Lytechinus pictus: one gene and its partners. The protein of the gene in region 3 purifies or fractionates together with the protein of the main gene of each other region. This does not show direct contact. Links are inferred from orthologs where the notes say so. Each region holds a gene or a part of one and is shown on either strand. Other genes may lie near its edges.

Region 1 (7,162 bases), on a different chromosome or scaffold from region 3:
GCCCCTTCAAAATTTTTGCCTTATGACGCCATTGCCTGTTCAATGATATGACCGGGAAATTTTTGGCTCTTGCCCCCCCTGGCCACCGACCCCTGTTACGCCGCTGAACGGAGCCAGGAATTCCTTCCCATTCATCTCTGTGTACCGCCAAAAAACTGAAAATTTCACCCCCGAGATTTCTACTTCAAAAAGATCTAGCCCTGGCTAAATCATGTAAATGGGATTCAACTTCATTTCAGACATTTCTACGCTATGGATTTCATTTGTAAACAAGAATTCATTAAAAAAACAAGAAAATGTTATTAAAAGACGGGGGAAACTTGCCACCGTGTTTACGTCGCCATCTTGATTTCATTGCCTTTCGCTTGCGATAAACCTTATGGCATGAATGGGAACCAGTCTGTATAGTCAGTATGGTACTGATAGTGGATCGTATTACTGAACACTTTTCATGAATTCATAATCATCTAACACATTTTTCTCATGAAATTCACCAAACAGAAACTTTCACCATAAATACACAATCGGACCCCTCTTTGCATGTGAAATATTTTGGTCACTTGATTCTTGAAAAAGGTATCGTATTACCGAACATGTGTTTTCTATGGGAAAAGTTGAGAAATCAACAAAATCACTGATTGAGCTATTTTGACCATATTTGATTATTTTTAGAATATTAAGACTTTGAAAATGTGTTTTGGACCGTTTTCATCATCTTTCTCTTCAAGTTCCCTTTTGAAGGATGTTGCAAAGTTTTGAGCGTATGATGAAATTATTTTCTGACGCGTACGATGCGCGCGTTCGGTAATACAAGGCCGGTTGGTAATACAATCACTTACAATACTAGGACGTAGCTAGCCAGGCCAGGAGGCTCCTAAGTATTCACTGACGTGCTTAATCTCCATGGAGCCAGGGATTCAGCTAAGACAGCATTCACCTTCCACACGGTCATTTTTCCCATGGCCATGCCATGGATAGACTTGTCTCTAGCAACAAACTATCAAATCTTTACTTTTCTAGCCCTAACTTATGTAAATGGGCTACAAGTATATACCCCCTGTACCCCCTGCAAGCACTAACAGACAGCAAGTTGTGAAAAATAAACAGTGAACTGGGGGGAATTGAGGTCACTGAATCTATTTTTTGCACTCTCAATCCCCGTAATTGCCGTCTATATCCCGCAGGGGTAAGTGAAAAAAAAAACGTCCCCATAAACAAGGACAATCTCAGTTTATCAAGACATGATTAATCTTGGTTTATGCAGGCCTCTACAAAAAAAGAATCATCACTTGCCCTGTCGGGCAAGTGATAAAAAAATTTGCTTGCCCGATAGAAAAAACTGCTTGCCCGATTTTTTTTCAAAAATTCTTTTGCTCTTAATTATTCTTTTCTGTCCTGGCTGAACTTGATTTACTGGCGCTGCCTTTGGCATTTCTTTTTCTTGACTCTTGTTCAAGTTGTTCTGGTCGCCGATCACGAAGACAAAAGTCGCCTATTTTAGTCTGACGACTCATTGTTTATTTGGTTTGAAGTTGAAGCCGAGTCCTGGCCAGGGTGACAAGATTTCACAAAATGAAATACAGGGCAATCAACAAAAAAAAAAGATCAAGAAAGAAGGCTACACAGTGTTAGACTTGTGAAAAAAAATATTCAGAATTGGAAGGGAGGGTGAACAAAAGAATGAAGGATAGAAAGAAAAGAGATGAATTGAGAAGTAAGAAAGAAAAAATGAAGGGGAAAATGAAGGAAATATAAGAAAGTTCTAATAAAAGAAGGATGAGAGAGAGAATAAAAATAGATAAAAAGGTTTCCGTCATTCTTTGAATTGAAGATAGAAAGAAAAAAAAGAAAAGAAGGGAAGATGAATAAATGTGTGCAAGTCAAAATAAAGAAGAGAAAGACAAAAAGAAAGTAAGAAAAAAGGAGGAGGAAAGAAAATGTTTCCTTCATTCTTGGAAAGAAAGAAACAAAGCAAGAAGAAAACAGGAAGGAAGGAGGGAAAGAATGAAGGAAGAAAGGGAAAGAAAGTATAAGGGAAAATAATAAGGACAAAATGAAAGAAATAATGAAAGAAAAAAAGGAGGAAAGAGCGGGAGGAAAGAATGAAGGTAGGCCAGAATGAAAAAAAGAAGAAAATAATGGAAGGAGAGAAAGAACGAAAATAAAAACGAGTGGAAGGGAGAAGGAATGAAGGAAATAAAAAAAAAGGTAATGTAATAAAGAAGGCAAGTAAGAGAAAGAAGGAAAGAAAGAAAATGGACAGAGAGAGAGAGAAAGGATCAGGAAATAAAAATAGATATGTAACAAAAAAGGGCAAGAAGGAAGGATAGAAGGATAGAAAAGAAAGAAAGAGGAAAAAGTTCAAACTTCAAGCAAATAAAAACAATCCAATCATATAACCAAAATCCTAAAATGATATTTGATGTTTTTTTATATATTTAAAAAAAAATAAAAAAATAAAATGTTTTAGAAATGAATAAAATACGGGACGTCTGGTCACCCTGGTCCTGGCTGAGTCAGTCCGAAGCTTGCATGCATTCAGCATGATCTAGCTCGAGAGTCGACTGGCTCGCGATCGCTTGTGTACGTCCGTACATGTACTGTAGCGCTGATGTATTAGAGCATGTGCTCAGAGGGCGAGAGAGGAGTTTCCCCAGCTAGCTCCTTCGTCGATTAGTAGCGCATGCGCACAGTGTAGTTTAGAAAGTAAAATGGCTGCCCCCATCGGCATCGAACGGGACCGCTGGCGATAAAATGTCGGTAAATTGGCGCTGATTTGACATGTTTCCACTGTTTTTTTACTGGTATGACATTGTATGAGAGATAATTGCAATTTATAAAAAAATTATTAAACTTTACTGTCAATTTATCTTTTTCATTTTCAAAACAGGCACTTGCCCGATCGGGCAATTGACTTTGAAAAATGCTTGCCCGCACGTCAATTTCTCTTGCCCCGGGCAAGCGGGTTTGTCGCGCCCTGGTTTATGAAGATATCCGTGTTTTCTGTGACAATCCCAATTTTTTACCTGCGCCTCTACTAAAAGTCCAATGTCTGGATGTCCAACACATATCGACCACTTCTTTTGAAACCGGCCACCTTGTCCTTGCGCGCATGAAGTCAGATGATTGCGTATAACAATCACTATGCGCTGGAGAGTAGGAACAATATTACGATAAGAATCAATTTTACAAGAGAAAAAGAGGGATAATAAGGTAAGAAAATTGTAGAAATTATCAAAATAATATTGACCAGACCCGAACCCCACTGCCAAATAGCTGTTAATACCGGAAATCCAAAAGGAAACTGCTTTTGAACAAATAATCCGTCGTCGGTGGTCGAATCCTGTGTCGGAGCTTGCGATGGAAGTAGCAAGACAATCAACCAGCATGATGACATCATAGAACTGACTTGGAAGAGTCAAAATATTTCGCCAGCGCGACAAGAATCGGCGGTAAATTTAGTGCATGGCGGGTGGTCGGTCCTAAAAAAGGGGTGCAAATGAGAATATTTGAAATCATCGCATTTGTTGATCGCTGATATCTACGTGCATAGAATCTGAGTCGTCTAATCATGGGATTCTGATCTGCTCAATTTTCTGCACAAATGAGATAAAAACAGGGTAAAGCTGATGAGTTGAGATGCATCTTTTTACTTGCACTATAGTTTAGTTTTGTTCAACTGCACCAAATGTCATACTGTCTTTTTGTGATTGCGGCCTCAGCCAAGTACGACTATACTCTGTAAAGAGGACTGTACTCAACAGAAGAAGAATATTTTTGCAGATATGATGCTTAGAAAATTAGGGTAGGTCGGTCCAACCATACAACTCTATGGAAAATTCTCCATATATTGTACATGCTGGTTCCCAATAAAATGTAAAGAAAGGTACTAGATAGAGATGATTCTGAAGAAATAAATCTTCTTTTTTTTTACAAAATAAATCTAACCAGTAGATTTGCTTTACTATACTCTCTGTTGAACTTTTTAACCAGCAACAAATTGAAAATAGAAAAGTCTCATTTTTTTCTACAAAATTTTATTTTGAAAAAAGAGAAGTAACAAACAGATTTTATTGTTATTAATTTGCATCATTCATTCACAGGGAGTGGCAGCAATTTTATTCATGGAACAATTCAGCCATTCTCCAGACCTCAGCATGGGATGATCTCAAGGATTATGACAGAGTTAAGATCACTCGTGAAGGAACATAAAGTAAGTGCTACCAGCGTCCTCCCCTAAACTTCAGTGTAGATGATCTGTGGGGGTATTGCCCCACCCAAACTGGACTGTTGATCCCAAACCCATAAGAAAAAGGGATATCAGACCATGTGATATACATCCTATAATTGAATTTGATTGACGATGCATGTTTCATTCTATAGACTTTCTGTTGCCTTGGCACCAGATGACACAATAATCTTCATTCTACTAGTCTTTGCCTTTTCACACATGAATGATCAATATAAATAATTTTGACAGCTGTGACACTTAGTCTTTTGTTGCCATATTTCCAACAAGAAAATAAATGATCTCAATATTAAACCTCAAGTGCTTGAATATTTCTTATTGATTGCAACAAGAAATAAATATGCTTCTGATTGAAAATCAAGGTGCATGTGTTGTTTTTATGAAATATACTTGAAGACATATGTTACTGGTACATCTGTTTTCTTTCTTTCCTTAGGCCAAAAGAATCTTTATGCTAGGGTTAATAGGGGCATTGTGTATCATCATCATGCTCCTATGGTGCCAATCAACTAACAGTATAGGTAAGACAACACATACCCCTTTGAAAATCTATTATTCAGATTTAAATGGGACATAAGCAATGGTATACATAGAGTGCTTCCTCATGACTAAAATCACTTTGATTATTAGTAATTAACAAGTGACTAAAGCAGGATTATTAGAGGTACATGTATCAGTGAGAAGATGTGATTATTATGCTAACGCAAACAATGCAACAAAAAAAGGAGACTTTTACCTTCAAAATTGATTGGCTGGTGGGGGGGGGGAGAAGGTCCTCTGCATTTTCAATACTGTTTTTAACCCCTAAACCTGAATATGGCTGGAAGAGAGACGGAGATTATTATTCTCAAATGCGATAGTCATATTTTCAACATATGAAAAAGAGATTTAATGGGTTCTACACTCTTGTAAATTTAAATATTAAATGAAACTCTATATAATTTAAACTTTTATTCACCAAAGCTTTAGACGGGCTTAAATCAATTATTTTCTTTTGTATATATATTTTTTAGCTTTGACAGCATTCACCTATATTATATTGTTTGACGTTCTATCTCTTGGTGTTTGTCTCATCACCATCTGGGTCACCAAGCAAAAACCTTCAAGCATTTATACTTATGGGTAAGTCAATTTTTTCTTTTGCGTAAATGACTATGTAATCAAGCAAAAACCTTCAAGCATTTATACTTATGGGTAAGTCAATTTTTTCTTTTGCGTACATGACTATGTAATCAAGCAAAAACCTCCAAGCATTTATACTTAAACTATTGGGTAAGTCAAGTTTCCATTTGTGTGGAAGACTATCTATGTTAATCCAGCAAAATCTTTAAGCATTTGTACTTATGTGCAAGTCAACTTTCTCTTCGTGTGAATGACTGTCGATATTAATCAAGCAAAAACTTTAGCTTGTAAACTTGTGTTGGTTAATTTTACATTTCAGTGAATGACTATCTATGTTAATCTCAAACCTTCAAGCATTTAATGCTGATAGAGTTTGATTTGGATGATTATATTAAATGCAAAGAACAAATATGTAAATTATAATGCATTGAGTACATGTATGTGATAATGGATTGTGCTCCTCAATTCTATGTTTTTGTTTTGATAATGATAATAATAATATTCCGCATTTATATAGCGCTTAATACATCGGAACGACGTCTCTAAGCGCTTTACAGACATATTATTACCCCGGTCATCGGATCCTTGCATGCCCGCATACAATGTATGCACCTTCTCCACACCCTGGGGAGCATTCCAACAAGAGTTTCAAGACTCAATTGCTAGGCATACTACATATAGGCTTTCACATCCTACCGGGTACCCATTTAACACCTGGGTGGAGAGTGGCAAAGTGTGGATTAACGCCTTGCCAAAGGATGCTAGGCCATGGTGGGATCTGAACACATGACCCTCTGATTACAAGGCTAGATTTTAGGTTAATCACTATTTCTTTATTGCAGGTACGAACGATTTGAGGTCCTAGCAGTATTCTCAACAACAGTGCTTGCCATATTTGGTTCTATATTCATTATGAAAGAAAGGTAATGTTATACACAATGCTATCATAGTAATTCTTGTAAATTGAAATATAATTTCAATGCATGTGAAATTGCATACTGTACTAATTGGTAATATATTAATCATAGAGAAAATATATTTTGTGACCCATTACGGCCATAAACATAAATTTGTCTCAAGTGTCTTCCATCATATTTTCTTTGTGTCTTTGTGATAAAATTTTTATTTGTTAAAATTGATAATGATTTATACCTACATGTGAAATTGTTTACGTCAATGATTTATGTCAATCATTGTTTAAACATTTACACAAGGAATGAGCTCATTTAAAATTAAGTGATATTCATGAAATGCATTTTGATAGCCTATACCATATGATTTTACAATGAAGTTTATGAACATGTTTTTCTTATAAAGACTGGAATACTGTCGAGTACATTGAGTCTTTTAAAATTATTGCCTAGTTTTACAAACAATTTTATCCTTGATCTTAGGTCAGTAATATACTAGATAACTTTAACTGTAATTCAGAGCAGTAAAATGTATCAACCTAGATTCATTCTTATCATTCTCATTGCAGTACTGAGCGAATCATTCAGCCCCCAGAGATACACACTGGTAGGCTAATGTTAGGAGCCATCTTAGGTCTATTCAGTCATCTGGTCCTATTATACGGGTCTAGGAACCAAGCTTTTAGTCATGTTAGTACAGCATCTAAGAGCAGCTGGTTACAAGAACACTTTGCTGATATTTGCCAGAGGTGAGAAATATGTTGTTGAAAGGGTGGTAGGGTAGAAAGATTCAACGAATATAAACAGTGATGCTTTGCAATGTCAGTTATGATTATGAATCAATCATTTATATTATTGTGTAGTGAAATTCTTTATCAAA
Region 2 (7,434 bases), on a different chromosome or scaffold from region 3:
CCAACCCAAATAAAAACTTGTTTTTATAAGGAAAAGAAAAATCAGATAAGTTGATAGGTGAAAGTTTGAACAATATTGGACAAACAACAAGAAAGTTATGAATTTTTAAAAGTTGTAAATATTGGTAATCACTATACCCATGGAAACTTCAAATTGGCTGCATATGGGATGTTATAGTGATGTATGGCAAGGACTACTCTTCCATGTACTCCAATACATATTTTGGCTAAAGTGTCATTTTCCCCCAAAGTTTTATTTCAAATTATGTTTTTCTTTCATGAGGACATAAAACAATATACTACCTGGGTTATGTTTAGATTACTTCCCCAGGGGAATGGGTACTTAAGAGAAAATCACAAATCCCTGATAATAAAGTACATGGCCTATGGGAAAGTTGTCCTTGCCCCTTGTCATAATTAACTTACCCAGTTGCCAATTGGAAATCTACATAGTATTAGTGATCTCAATTTTAAAGCAGCTATAACTTTTTTATTGCTTGTCCGATTTCTTTCAAACTTTCACCATTCTGTTTAATTTATTTTTCTCCTTCCAAACACAAAATTTTATGGCCAAGGCTGGATTCCCCTTTAATGAAACTACTTCACTCTCTCTCTAAATTTATATATATAAATTTTGCTTCACTTTTGAAAACAAGGTTCAAAATCACAATAAATTCAAGAGACGGTTCCTCTTCATTTTAATTCATAAAACATAGAAAGCTTCGCCTGGGAGCGGGAAACTCCCTCTCCCTGCACCCACCCCCTAGGGAGCGCACTTCGCGCACTCTGTGTTAGCACGCCTCAAAAATGAAATCCTGGCTACGCCTACGCCAAGGCTCCACATTAACTTTTTTTGGTGGTGGCCCGTTCGGGCCACCAAAACCATCAAATAATTTTTTTTGGTGGCCCGATATTAAAGTTTGGTGGCCCGAAAAATATAAAGAAACACATTAAAAATTAATAAAACAAACTTCTGAAATATTAATTCTGCAGCCACTACCACTAAGTTACTTTCACTTTATCATCTTGTATGTAAACCTTGTTTGCTGTTTTTGCTAATTGGCTTGTGGTAAAATATAAATTGTTTCTATCGTTGTAAAAATTAGAACAATGCATAAAAGGGGGAAACAAATGAAAATAATTTTCAAAAAGTATATTACAAAAAGAAAACAAAAATAATAAAAGAAATAAGTGAAATAAAACAAAAGAAAGAAAATGAAGAAAGGAAAAACAAAGAACAGGGAAAAAAAAGAAAAGAAAATTTAGAGAAAAAAAAGTGAAAGAAAAATGAATAAAACAAAATTAATATAAAAATGGGGAAAAGGGGAAAATTAAGAAGCCATTACGAATATTTTTTAACAGCTGTGGCAACAGTCTATTCTGACTGGAATATAATTAAAAGCCAAGCAAATAATTTTCACTTACCTTCTGGAAATGGCACATTTCTATTTTTATATCCTTTAGTTTGTATTATTTTATTTTCAGTAGAAACATATTTTTTAATCAGGTATATTCAATAGGAAGGGGTATAAATGGTTTAACCAAGTGCTGTAAAAAAATGAAAGAAAAAAAATAAGAAGAAAACGGCAATAGTTATATCTGGAAAAAAAGTGAGAGAAAAGTCCTTCCCTATATTTGCCAAAATGTTGAAAAAATTCACATTTCATATCAATGAAATGCCTTCCCAAAGTATCTCAAGAGTGGTTTAAGAAGTCATTTATAAACAAGAAAGAAAGAAACTGTCTGTTTATTTTTGGCTAGAAAAGACACAGCTTCGAAAGAAACCAAGTATCAACATACATACAAATGCACATGTGGGACTGTGATGTACATGCCTATGTGTTTTTATGTGTATTAATTCATTTGGAAATCGGTCTTTTGTAGTCAAAAGAGAGGTCATAATTCCTCTTCTTAATGCTTGCAAATAATCAGGGTACACCAAATTTTCGTAATATAGACTGTAGAATGTCATTTCATTGGTGTAAAATGTGACTTTGACTCAGATTTTCAAAGTTCTGTGGAAGATTTCTAAGCAGCAACATTTTTTATCGCAGCTCCCAGAGTGTGAATAGGCTGAGCTAGATCTAGAGCATGCACAGCTGTATGCAGTGGCTTCATGCAAAGCTAGCTCACGCCAGCAGCCGGCCGGTGCGGCTGGCTGGATAATAGCTACTGTATGCTATAACTGTAGGCCTAATATGCAAACTGTGTGTGTGTATTTGTGTGTAGATCAACAAAAAGGGCGCATGACGAACTGGGTTGCAATTTGAACTGTAGAAAGTTGATAAATGCGTGCAAAATCGGGAGAAAAATTGCGCTACTTTTGAAAATTATTGGTTGCCCGATTCGGGCCACCAAAACTTAACATTTTATCAATAATGGTTGCCCGATGTGAATTTCTGGTGGCCCCGGGCCACCGGGCCACCGCTAATGTCGAGCCTTGCCTACGCTACGCAGTTGGTCTGTGTACGAGTCATAAAATTACGTTAAAAACTCCTAGAAACTGATGCCATGGCTGCCAGCTGTCTACCTCGATAGATGTTGTCCTAACCTCGCATGACTGTGATCATAACTTCAACATAAGCTCTTTGATTTGAAAGTTTGAATAAGTACAGAGTCAGGGCAGTGGCAGTCTCTCACAAAAACTATATAATATATTGACATGTAAAAAAATTAGATACGGTACACAAATACAAAAATAGATATGTGGGACCCTTGCCTTGTAAAAAAAAATATACCAGCACCAAACACACATTGTTTTCTTTCTAGATTCTTAGTATCTTACCGCTTCCACGTCATAATATTTTCTCAAATTTGATCTCCTGAACCTCTCATCTGTATTATGTTCATGTATTGCACGGAGTAATGGGTTGCGAATTCGATGAGAAGCCATAATAAATTCGTCTTCAGTCAGTCTCGGAAGTTAGTCGCTTGACTCTATCATGATCAACTAGCTAGCTAGACCGATCAGCTGCGCTGCATCCCGCCCCGGCCCCCCGGCCGCGCCCCGGTCCCGCGGCCAGGTGATGTGAGGCTAGCTAAGCGGCGAGGCCGGTGCATGCAAGGATGCAAGGCAGTTTGATTGGATTGGATTGGTTCGGTTTGGTTTGGGTTGGGCCCGGGCGGGGGCCCGGGTTGGGTTAATTGGGTTGGTGGCAGGCGCGGATCCAGGGGGGGGGGGGGGGGCACAGGGGGCACGTGCCCCCCTTTTGAGAAGAAAAATTAAAATTTGTAATGTAAAAATGCCATTGAAACCGAGATGTGCCCCCTCTTTTGAAATTGAAGACCTTTTTTTTTTTTTTGCTTGTCAAATTTTTTTCGGGTACGAAATATCCTTAATTTGTGGTTGAAAACCCTTTTTGGGGGGGCTTGTCAAAATTTTCCTCCGAAAAAATTGCCCCCCCCCCTCCCTTTAGGAAAATCCTGGATCCGCCCCTGGTTGATGGGTGGGTTTGTTGAACATTCATTGGAAAAATAGCGGGAAAAATAGTAACAAAATATTGCCGGTTTGAGAAAAATCCATGAAAGGATGAAAAAATAAATAGAATTTGAATTATAGGCCTATGATCTGTGACGTCATATGCGAGCAGCTTTCCTACATATCGTATGGTAAAAACTCAATCAAATGTGATTTTCTCAGAAAATTGAAAATGGTATTCACTGTACCTTCAGTACACTGGCGGATCGATCCAGGGGGCACCAGCCGGCCCGTGCCCCCCTTGACAGGCACAATTAAAATTTGGAATGTAAATATGGCGTTAGAACAAGATATTGCTCAGGTTCGGATCAACGGGTGGGGGGGGGGGGTGGGCGGCAAGAGGTCTTGGCACAAGAGAAATCTACCCCCCCCCTCCAAAAAAAAGAGATACAAACCTTAGTCATTTGAGAGTGATGACAAACTTCTTTTTTGTCTTTTTGATTGTCAATTTTTTTTTTGCATATCAAAAAAAAAAAAGATAAAAAGATAAATCACATATCCAACAAACTGCTTAAAAAGTTCCTTTTTTTAAGTTGTCTGCCTATTGTTAAAAAAAAAACAATGTGTAAAAAATGTCCGTTCTTAAGGTTGCGCTTTGCGCCTTTGCATAAATTTAATTACTGGTATAGCCTTCATTACCCCCTTCATGACTTTTCTTTATGCATGTATGTCAAACAATGCTTCAATTCCTTTCAAGATTAGTCAGGTATATGTAGGCCCATTTATAAATTTCAGCTCGCGCTTCGCGCTCAAATTATAAACAAATAACGGATACCGTTACTATTATAAAGGTGCTCAAAATCTATAGTTTTCAGGTATGAACATCAACAATAATCAGCTCACACTTCATAATGCTCGCGTTATTTGTTTAGTAAGAGATATGGCGTGTTCATGATTAAGGAAGTAAGTGTTTAGGCTATAATGCATTGTTTTTAGGTCGCGCTTCGCGCGCGCATCTTTAAATGGTGAAACACGTATCATGTTACTGAATTCATACCAAGAGTCCTTAAAAAGCCCCCCCCCCCTTCCCGGCTCAAGGTCGGAGTGACGCCTATGCATGGTCCCTCTTGATAACCAATAAGTGCATATTGCAATATGCCTATCATGCATCATCATCGTCATCACCATCATCATACCGCCATTATCATTATCCTGATTATCATTTTCATATAATTAATATCATTGTTATCATCATCATCACCATCATTATACTGTATGCATGGTAAGGTTTCAATAAAACTTATTCATAACGCACAGCAAGATCGGCAGTGATATTGAATTTAATAATTAATATACCAATAAGTAACACAGAAATGTCAAATATTTCAAGCATAATGGCAAGTATTCTGAAGTCCAGTTTAATTTATGGTCTAACTGTGTTAAAAAAATGGGAAGCCGAAAATATATGCTTTTTACGTTTATTATCCCCCTAATTCCCAGACAGTTATGAATTGACTTTGTGTAGAATGAGCTAATTAATTGCGCCTACAATGTTACGATTTTTTTGTAACATCTGACTCCCATAGCTTACCAGAGAGTGTTTCAACAACATTTTCGTCCGACAAGTCAGATCTGACAACTCTTCTTGAATGTGGTTGGCTGAGAAGCACCATTACCATGGTAACTGTCAGATAAAACAGGACTTGTCGGATAAAATGTCCCACAAGAGCTTTCAAGTTACGCTCCCAAGAGTCCATAGAGTTCAGAATTTAAGGGTTTTGTCTTTGCATAAATCAAATTACTTAACAATAACTAATTTTAATTGCTTTTTAAACAGAAAAGTCACACAGAAATGTCGTATATATAATATTTTTTTGCATACTTCGAAAACTTCTTTTTTGTATACAACTATAGCTTGCGAGGAATTTGAAAAGATAGTCCACAAACTTTAATGGCTCATCATTATAACATGATATTGAATGTAACATAACATGTAAAATATTGAACTTGGCAGTGAAAAGGCAAATTGAAATGCTGTAAATTTTTTTTCTTTGAATGAATCAATAGTTTATGTTAAATCCATCATTTTTCATATCTTTCGGAATGATTATTATAACATTTACTGAAAATCATACTGCATATGTTCTTTGATAAGAATACTTATTCATAAAATCTTAGAATTTCTTTATTATCCCATGAATATAGTGAATAAAAACAAAAACAAAATACGTCTTAAATTAAAATAACAAGTTATGCGCCTGCGCACTGAAAACACTATTATAAATACATCATCAATCGAAATTATAAATACAATATTTCTATTACTATTTATCCGGTAAAAAATTGTTAATCAGGGGTATTTCATCAATATTTTTCGTCCGAAAATGTTTTAGATCCGATGAGCGCTTCATTAACATTTTCACCCGACAAGTTATCAGGTCTGACAACTTTCCTTGATTATGATTGGCTAAGAGACAATGTTACCATAGTAACTGTCGGATAAATCACTACTTGTCGGATAAACGTCTGAAACGCTCGCCAGACCTCTTTTGTTGATTTTGATTGGCTGAGAAGCATTGTTACTATGGTAACTGTTGGGGACTTGACGGATAAAAATTAATGTTAAAACGTCTCACAAGTCATTTTATGAACGCTCCCCAGGTAATCCATTTGCTTCTGCAAACTCATCATTAGTCTGCTACCATTCCCTGCTTGACAATTATTATCGTGTAACCGTTTATAGACAGATGAATTAGTACGACTTCATATACTGTATATCCAGCAAGACCAGCATAATTATATGTCTGCAAATCTTTTTAAATATTGATGGTCCAAATGTTTTGCTCGGAAAGATTTTGCTTTTGTGAAACTTCACTCTTCATCGATGTTTTTTAACGAGTCTTTTCCAGAGTGGAATTTGGCGGCGATCCATTTGTTTCTTAAAGGAAGTGATATGTTCGAGAACAAAGGAAAGGTCCGGTCTTGACTGTGGATTCCTCTTCATGCATTTGATGGCTAAGGATGTTAGATCTTTCAGAAGTGGACATCTTTCTGCATGGTTGTGGAGGAGAAGAATTTAAAGTAAAACGGACACAATCAGGAAAAAGGTAACTGAGTAAGGAAATCTTCATTAATCCGGGCATTATTCAAACCAATTTTTTTTTTTATAGAAGTCTTTTATCTTTGCTTTCAAAGGAAATACATTCCAGTTATGCCATCAAAGCGGTTATCGCTTCTGCTGGTTGGACAATGGCGTAACCCGACTATTCAAGAAAATTGGCCCCAAACCGGTCCGAGACTCCGAGCAGTGCATGGGGATGATAGCAACTAATATATTGACCTGAAAATTCATAATTTTGGGGACAAAACCTCCTGCCCTACCCCATTTTTATTTTTATTTGGCAAATTGCTTGGCAGAAAATATGTACACCACTGTCCCCACCCCTCCTTTAGCCAATCCTTGATATACGCCCCTGTCCCCTATATATTCTATATACTCCTCTGATAAATTACACGAGGAATCTTGCAAATTACCTTCTACAACTTTTGTGATGTCTTCAAGGATTTTGCCAACTGAGAATACATCCGATGAAATCGATGTTGACTGTCCATGTAGAACGACCTCGGGGGCTACGTAATCACCCTCCTCTCCGTGAATGTATGCTACTTTCAATTCTTCAGGAAGCTCCGTCATCTGTAACGGCGACGAGATCGTACTGACCATACCGAAGTCAATGATGACGGCGTGGTAACTATGACCTCTTTTCTCGAGAAGGACATTATCGGTCTTGAGGTCGTTGTGCAGGAGCCCTTGGTCGTGAAGCTCCATCATTCCTCGCACGACGTCCTCTGCGATGTCGAGGCCGTTTGTAACAGACAAAGACGGAGGCTCGAGGAGAGAGAAGGAGGTCCCCGACTTTTGATTTCCAACAAATTCTATTGCCAAGCAGGGGTCGTTGTCGAGATCGAGCGTGCCTAAAAAGCTCGGAAAGTACTGACTGTCGGATAGAAGTTGGT
Region 3 (7,716 bases):
AACAATTATCTTTGCTGCACAAATGATACAGTACACTGTACGTCATGTGCATTACAAGGGATAAAATTTCAGTCATCCAAAATCGGTCAAGCCCTTTCTATTCACTTTTATGTGCCATAGTTATAGTCCTATAAAGAAAAACGTAAGAAAGTCAAGGTAAAACAGGGCAAACATATTATTGAAGGAATATTTAAAATATATATATGCAAAGCTTTATTGTACTTTAAAATCTAAACTGAAAAAAAGAGAGAAAAAAGAAAACCAAACTTGGACAATGAAATGACATACCTCTCATGGTGGACTCGCCCTAGATTGCTAGTAGAACCCATCATCTTGAAAGCTGATCACCTACTAACATGTATTATCACTGATGTGTTAGAAAACTAGTACAGGCTTGAAGGAACATCTGTGTTGTTCTTAATGTTCTTAACAAGATCTTGTAGGATTAGGTAATTTTTATATTTTCCATTCCAATATCTGAGGAGAGAGGTATGAGACAAACGAGGTAGGATCAATCATTTTTCTTAAATTAATAAAATAGAGCCAGAATCTTAAAGTACAAAACACACTTAATTCATGATAGCATACAAAATTTGGCGAATGCAGTTTCGCACCAGCCAACTTTAAAATTTCACTAGTATTGTTCACAAGTCTCTCGATCACATTTCAAGGTAAATCTCCCACCACTTTTTTTAATATCGCGGTCGGGAACGGCTGTATTTGGGCTTCGATCTGGACAGCATCATTCAAATTCTTAGACATTGCTTCGCTTGGATTCGCTGTACCGGGAATTTATTTGTGGATTGAATTTAGCGACCAAAAATCATGCGAACATGTGGTGAACAAAGGGGTCAGCTGCCACAGGAAGATCTTTTGGTCATTAACTTCAGTCTATATCAAACCTACGATGAAGCTAAACATTACCAAGCGAAGTGACATCTGAATGAAAATTCGACAACGACTTCAAGATCCAACTGAATAACAGCCGTTCCCAATTGTAATATTCAGAAAACCGTGCGGTGGGCACATTGATTGTGGAATGTGAGTGTATGACATTTTTTAACAATAATACAGGTGGGTAAATTCTCTCGAAGTCGGCCAGTGAAAAACTCCATCAGCGCCCGAAACACATTACATCTTATTACGGTACGGTATGTTCTACAATTTGTACAAAAAAAAAACGAGTTGCTCAAAGTCAAAACAGCAATAGTCTAAATAAGTCTAAGACGTGAATTTTCCAACTCCCGGCTCCCCTTGCCCCCTCAAAAAAAAAAAAAATTAAAAACACACCTTTAATAGGCCTACCAAACATTTTCAACTGACCAAAATACTTGAGGGATGAGATCAGAAGCTGAGTGATAACTTGTCTTAAGTCTTTAGTTTAGTGCACTGCAAGTGTTATCGCAAGTTTGGCAAAGAATTTATTTTAACTTAACTTCAACTTCAAGACCACTCTAGGCGACACCCCAATACTTACCCGTGCTAATAAACTGGGACTCCACTCACGCGCGTATGGGCCTCCCTAGCTTAGAACTAAGCACTAATATCACCTTAAAAACTAAATCTACAATTACAAGGTATGTATAATCTATTTAAAACTTTAATAATGTTTATTCGGTACTCACCGGTTCTTTTGTTGCATTTTCAGACCATTTCTCACAATTCTTCGTAAATATTTGCGGCAAATTTTGTCGCCATAGACAGCTTAGCGTCCATCTTTATTGATAAATGGAGCGCCCTTTACGATAGTTGTTAATGCCGCGGATAAATCGTTAGGCATTTTGGCCTGTGTTCAAGGCGTTCTTTCTGTTTTATTTTTTATATTGAAGATTGTGCATTTGTTGAATAGCGCCGTCTACGTCAGGTATGAGATCGAGTGTATAAATACACTCTTCCAAAATAATTATGATTCCGACCTGGCGCTGTTTAACTTCAATCTCTTTCACCTAAATTAGCGATGAATGCTAGCATTATAAAATATATATTATTAACGTCTGACGAAAAGAATAACCAACCGATCAGCTGACGAGAACGCGAATCACGTGATCTTCATATCAGCTTCGATCGCGAGTCAGAAGAGAAGAGCAGCTGCCCAGAAAATCAGGAAAAAGCCGTGAAAATGTAAGTTCCCCTTCATTTCTTTCATTTTTTGTTGTTGCTAACGATGCATTTACACTATAAAATTATAATTTAAATAAGAGAAAGGAATATAGCTTGTACTTGTGATATAATTGCCTAAATATCCTGTTCTCAGAGATTTCTAACCAAAAATACTACTGATGTCGCCTATGAGGTCCATACATGTAATGTTGGACCTCATTGGTACTAGGAGTGTTCAAGACCAAGTTCAGACTCAGAATTAATTTCAGAAAGAAAACTGATCTCGGCAAAAAATCACATCTTTCAATTTTATTCTTGTTGGTATTTGCGTATCAATGGTGGAAGTTTGATGCAGGAATAATAAAAAAATATCGCGTTTAATATATGATTGAAATTATAACAAGTGTTCGACAAAATGATCGTCCACAGAGGTCAGAGTTACCGCCTACCGGTGCTTGTCAGAAACTGGCGAACATGCCATGAAAATGGGCATATGGGACCGAGGCGAGGGCGAAGCTTGGGCCTAGGCTAGCTGCAAGCAAAACTTAGGAGTTAGGTCTTAGGAAAAAAAGACCCTATTTTGCAAACTGGAAAATGATTCACTCTTGTCTTACCTGCCTTAAATTCTTGCAATTGTATACTTCTCATGTTTCAAAGGAGTTTCAGAAAATTGACGCCTTGAGACCTAACTTACTAGTGGATTGATAATACGGCCACGTAATGTAATTCACTGCATGCATGCAAGCCTATGTCAAGTGAGCCAACAATAAGCCAGCCAACAGCAAGCCAGCCAACAGTTCCAGCCAACAATATCGCGATATATTAGATAGATCAGATACAGGATTTTGCGCACGAAGAGAAGCGTGCATTCTTGTACAAAATCAAACAAACGGGGTCAGTGCTACACGGGCCTGTTCTCTAGTGGCAGGCCATAGATATTCATTCGAGCCAACCCATTGCTATTTTTTTTTAATTTTGATATGGCTGATTGACAAAGTGTATGCATATGATTTTCCATCTAACACTGATTCTATTTTTGGTAATTACTGAACTTCCTTTTCCCAAATTGGGAAGAAATATCACCAATTTTGGACTATATTTTGACAGGCGGAAGGATTAGGGCTATTTTGCTGTTTGAGGTGATGAATCTCCTCTTTATAAAATACAATTGGAAGATTGCTCCTGAAATATATTTTGGGTGTGTGTAGGGGGGTTTCCCTTCTTTCAATTTGTAAATAAAAACAACGGGCTAGTGCTTTAGTTTTAGTAGCCCACACCCCTATATACTCTATGTTTTTTCGTATATTGAGGAGTAAATTTCAACTAAAAGTCCTCTTTCTAAAATACAATTGGAAGATTGCTCCTGAAATATATTTTGGGTGTGTGTCGGGGGGGTTCCCTTCTTTCAATTTGTAAATAAAAACAACGGGCTAGTGCTTTAGTTTTAGTAGCCCACACCCCTATATACTCTATGTTTTTTCGTATATTGAGGAGTACTAATTTCAACTAAAAGTCCTCTTTATAAAATACAATTGGAAGATTGCTCCTGAAATATATTTTGGGTGTGTGTAGGGGGGTTTCCCTTCTTTCAATTTGTAAATAAAAACAACGGGCTAGTGCTTTAGTTTTAGTAGCCCACACCCCTATATACTCTATGTTTTTTCGTATATTGAGGAGTAAATTTCAACTAAAAGTCCTCTTTCTAAAATACAATTGGAAGATTGCTCCTGAAATATATTTTGGGTGTGTGTCGGGGGGGTTCCCTTCTTTCAATTTGTAAATAAAAACAACGGGCTAGTGCTTTAGTTTTAGTAGCCCACACCCCTATATACTCTATGTTTTTTCGTATATTGAGGAGTACTAATTTCAACTAAAAGTCCTCTTTATAAAATACAATTGGAAGATTGCTCCTGAAATATATTTTGGGTGTGTGTAGGGGGGTTTCCCTTCTTTCAATTTGTAAATAAAAACAACGGGCTAGTGCTTTAGTTTTAGTAGCCCACACCCCTATATACTCTATGTTTTTTCGTATATTGAGGAGTAAATTTCAACTAAAAGTCCTCTTTCTAAAATACAATTGGAAGATTGCTCCTGAAATATATTTTGGGTGTGTGTCGGGGGGGTTCCCTTCTTTCAATTTGTAAATAAAAACAACGGGCTAGTGCTTTAGTTTTAGTAGCCCACACCCCTATATACTCTATGTTTTTTCGTATATTGAGGAGTACTAATTTCAACTAAAAGTCCTCTTTATAAAATACAATTGGAAGATTGCTCCTGAAATATATTTTGGGTGTGTGTAGGGGGGTTTCCCTTCTTTCAATTTGTAAATAAAAACAACGGGCTAGTGCTTTAGTTTTAGTAGCCCACACCCCTATATACTCTATGTTTTTTCGTATATTGAGGAGTAAATTTCAACTAAAAGTCCTCTTTCTAAAATACAATTGGAAGATTGCTCCTGAAATATATTTTGGGTGTGTGTCGGGGGGGTTCCCTTCTTTCAATTTGTAAATAAAAACAACGGGCTAGTGCTTTAGTTTTAGTAGCCCACACCCCTATATACTCTATGTTTTTTCGTATATTGAGGAGTACTAATTTCAACTAAAAGTCCTCTTTATAAAATACAATTGGAAGATTGCTCCTGAAATATATTTTGGGTGTGTGTAGGGGGGTTTCCCTTCTTTCAATTTGTAAATAAAAACAACGGGCTAGTGCTTTAGTTTTAGTAGCCCACACCCCTATATACTCTATGTTTTTTCGTATATTGAGGAGTAAATTTCAACTAAAAGTCCTCTTTCTAAAATACAATTGGAAGATTGCTCCTGAAATATATTTTGGGTGTGTGTCGGGGGGGTTCCCTTCTTTCAATTTGTAAATAAAAACAACGGGCTAGTGCTTTAGTTTTAGTAGCCCACACCCCTATATACTCTATGTTTTTTCGTATATTGAGGAGTACTAATTTCAACTAAAAGTCCTCTTTATAAAATACAATTGGAAGATTGCTCCTGAAATATATTTTGGGTGTGTGTAGGGGGGTTTCCCTTCTTTCAATTTGTAAATAAAAACAACGGGCTAGTGCTTTAGTTTTAGTAGCCCACACCCCTATATACTCTATGTTTTTTCGTATATTGAGGAGTAAATTTCAACTAAAAGTCCTCTTTCTAAAATACAATTGGAAGATTGCTCCTGAAATATATTTTGGGTGTGTGTCGGGGGGGTTCCCTTCTTTCAATTTGTAAATAAAAACAACGGGCTAGTGCTTTAGTTTTAGTAGCCCACACCCCTATATACTCTATGTTTTTTCGTATATTGAGGAGTACTAATTTCAACTAAAAGTCCTCTTTATAAAATACAATTGGAAGATTGCTCCTGAAATATATTTTGGGTGTGTGTAGGGGGGTTTCCCTTCTTTCAATTTGTAAATAAAAACAACGGGCTAGTGCTTTAGTTTTAGTAGCCCACACCCCTATATACTCTATGTTTTTTCGTATATTGAGGAGTAAATTTCAACTAAAAGTCCTCTTTCTAAAATACAATTGGAAGATTGCTCCTGAAATATATTTTGGGTGTGTGTCGGGGGGGTTCCCTTCTTTCAATTTGTAAATAAAAACAACGGGCTAGTGCTTTAGTTTTAGTAGCCCACACCCCTATATACTCTATGTTTTTTCGTATATTGAGGAGTACTAATTTCAACTAAAAGTCCTCTTTATAAAATACAATTGGAAGATTGCTCCTGAAATATATTTTGGGTGTGTGTAGGGGGGTTTCCCTTCTTTCAATTTGTAAATAAAAACAACGGGCTAGTGCTTTAGTTTTAGTAGCCCACACCCCTATATACTCTATGTTTTTTCGTATATTGAGGAGTAAATTTCAACTAAAAGTCCTCTTTCTAAAATACAATTGGAAGATTGCTCCTGAAATATATTTTGGGTGTGTGTCGGGGGGGTTCCCTTCTTTCAATTTGTAAATAAAAACAACGGGCTAGTGCTTTAGTTTTAGTAGCCCACACCCCTATATACTCTATGTTTTTTCGTATATTGAGGAGTACTAATTTCAACTAAAAGTCCTCTTTATAAAATACAATTGGAAGATTGCTCCTGAAATATATTTTGGGTGTGTGTAGGGGGGTTTCCCTTCTTTCAATTTGTAAATAAAAACAACGGGCTAGTGCTTTAGTTTTAGTAGCCCACACCCCTATATACTCTATGTTTTTTCGTATATTGAGGAGTAAATTTCAACTAAAAGTCCTCTTTCTAAAATACAATTGGAAGATTGCTCCTGAAATATATTTTGGGTGTGTGTCGGGGGGGTTCCCTTCTTTCAATTTGTAAATAAAAACAACGGGCTAGTGCTTTAGTTTTAGTAGCCCACACCCCTATATACTCTATGTTTTTTCGTATATTGAGGAGTACTAATTTCAACTAAAAGTCCTCTTTATAAAATACAATTGGAAGATTGCTCCTGAAATATATTTTGGGTGTGTGTAGGGGGGTTTCCCTTCTTTCAATTTGTAAATAAAAACAACGGGCTAGTGCTTTAGTTTTAGTAGCCCACACCCCTATATACTCTATGTTTTTTCGTATATTGAGGAGTAAATTTCAACTAAAAGTCCTCTTTCTAAAATACAATTGGAAGATTGCTCCTGAAATATATTTTGGGTGTGTGTCGGGGGGGTTCCCTTCTTTCAATTTGTAAATAAAAACAACGGGCTAGTGCTTTAGTTTTAGTAGCCCACACCCCTATATACTCTATGTTTTTTCGTATATTGAGGAGTACTAATTTCAACTAAAAGTCCTCTTTATAAAATACAATTGGAAGATTGCTCCTGAAATATATTTTGGGTGTGTGTAGGGGGGTTTCCCTTCTTTCAATTTGTAAATAAAAACAACGGGCTAGTGCTTTAGTTTTAGTAGCCCACACCCCTATATACTCTATGTTTTTTCGTATATTGAGGAGTAAATTTCAACTAAAAGTCCTCTTTCTAAAATACAATTGGAAGATTGCTCCTGAAATATATTTTGGGTGTGTGTCGGGGGGGTTCCCTTCTTTCAATTTGTAAATAAAAACAACGGGCTAGTGCTTTAGTTTTAGTAGCCCACACCCCTATATACTCTATGTTTTTTCGTATATTGAGGAGTACTAATTTCAACTAAAAGTCCTCTTTATAAAATACAATTGGAAGATTGCTCCTGAAATATATTTTGGGTGTGTGTAGGGGGGTTTCCCTTCTTTCAATTTGTAAATAAAAACAACGGGCTAGTGCTTTAGTTTTAGTAGCCCACACCCCTATATACTCTATGTTTTTTCGTATATTGAGGAGTAAATTTCAACTAAAAGTCCTCTTTCTAAAATACAATTGGAAGATTGCTCCTGAAATATATTTTGGGTGTGTGTCGGGGGGGTTCCCTTCTTTCAATTTGTAAATAAAAACAACGGGCTAGTGCTTTAGTTTTAGTAGCCCACACCCCTATATACTCTATGTTTTTTCGTATATTGAGGAGTACTAATTTCAACTAAAAGTCCTCTTTATAAAATACAATTGGAAGATTGCTCCTGAAATATATTTTGGGTGTGTGTAGGGGGGTTTCCCTTCTTTCAATTTGTAAATAAAAACAACGG

The links.
Region 1: the proteins of proton-coupled zinc antiporter SLC30A5-like (region 3) and zinc transporter 6-like purify together in Homo sapiens (co-immunoprecipitation; 5 studies listed by BioGRID and IntAct, with this or other methods). This does not show direct contact. The link is inferred for Lytechinus pictus from reciprocal best matches to the Homo sapiens genes SLC30A5 and SLC30A6.
Region 2: the proteins of proton-coupled zinc antiporter SLC30A5-like (region 3) and protein-L-histidine N-pros-methyltransferase-like purify together in Homo sapiens (co-immunoprecipitation; 3 studies listed by BioGRID and IntAct, with this or other methods). This does not show direct contact. The link is inferred for Lytechinus pictus from reciprocal best matches to the Homo sapiens genes SLC30A5 and METTL9.

Annotation. Positions count from the first base shown.
Region 1 is NC_087251.1:1,066,056-1,073,217, forward strand, and holds the start of zinc transporter 6-like, read left to right. Parts: upstream 1-4,107; 5' UTR 4,108-4,162; coding exon 4,163-4,213; intron 4,214-4,685; coding exon 4,686-4,770; intron 4,771-5,262; coding exon 5,263-5,371; intron 5,372-6,213; coding exon 6,214-6,294; intron 6,295-6,851; coding exon 6,852-7,031; intron 7,032-7,162. UniProt on the Homo sapiens protein: Has probably no intrinsic transporter activity but together with SLC30A5 forms a functional zinc ion:proton antiporter heterodimer, mediating zinc entry into the lumen of organelles along the secretory pathway.
Region 2 is NC_087246.1:64,750,575-64,758,008, reverse strand, and holds the start of protein-L-histidine N-pros-methyltransferase-like, read right to left. Parts: upstream 3,109-7,434; 5' UTR 2,893-3,108; coding exon 2,785-2,892; intron 1-2,784. Other genes in the region: serine/threonine-protein kinase 24-like, read right to left, coding at 6,296-6,468, 6,952-7,434. UniProt on the Homo sapiens protein: Protein-histidine N-methyltransferase that specifically catalyzes 1-methylhistidine (pros-methylhistidine) methylation of target proteins.
Region 3 is NC_087249.1:15,765,071-15,772,786, reverse strand, and holds the start of proton-coupled zinc antiporter SLC30A5-like, read right to left. Parts: upstream 3,004-7,716; 5' UTR 2,715-3,003; intron 478-2,714; 5' UTR 333-477; coding exon 289-332; intron 1-288. UniProt on the Homo sapiens protein: Together with SLC30A6 forms a functional proton-coupled zinc ion antiporter mediating zinc entry into the lumen of organelles along the secretory pathway.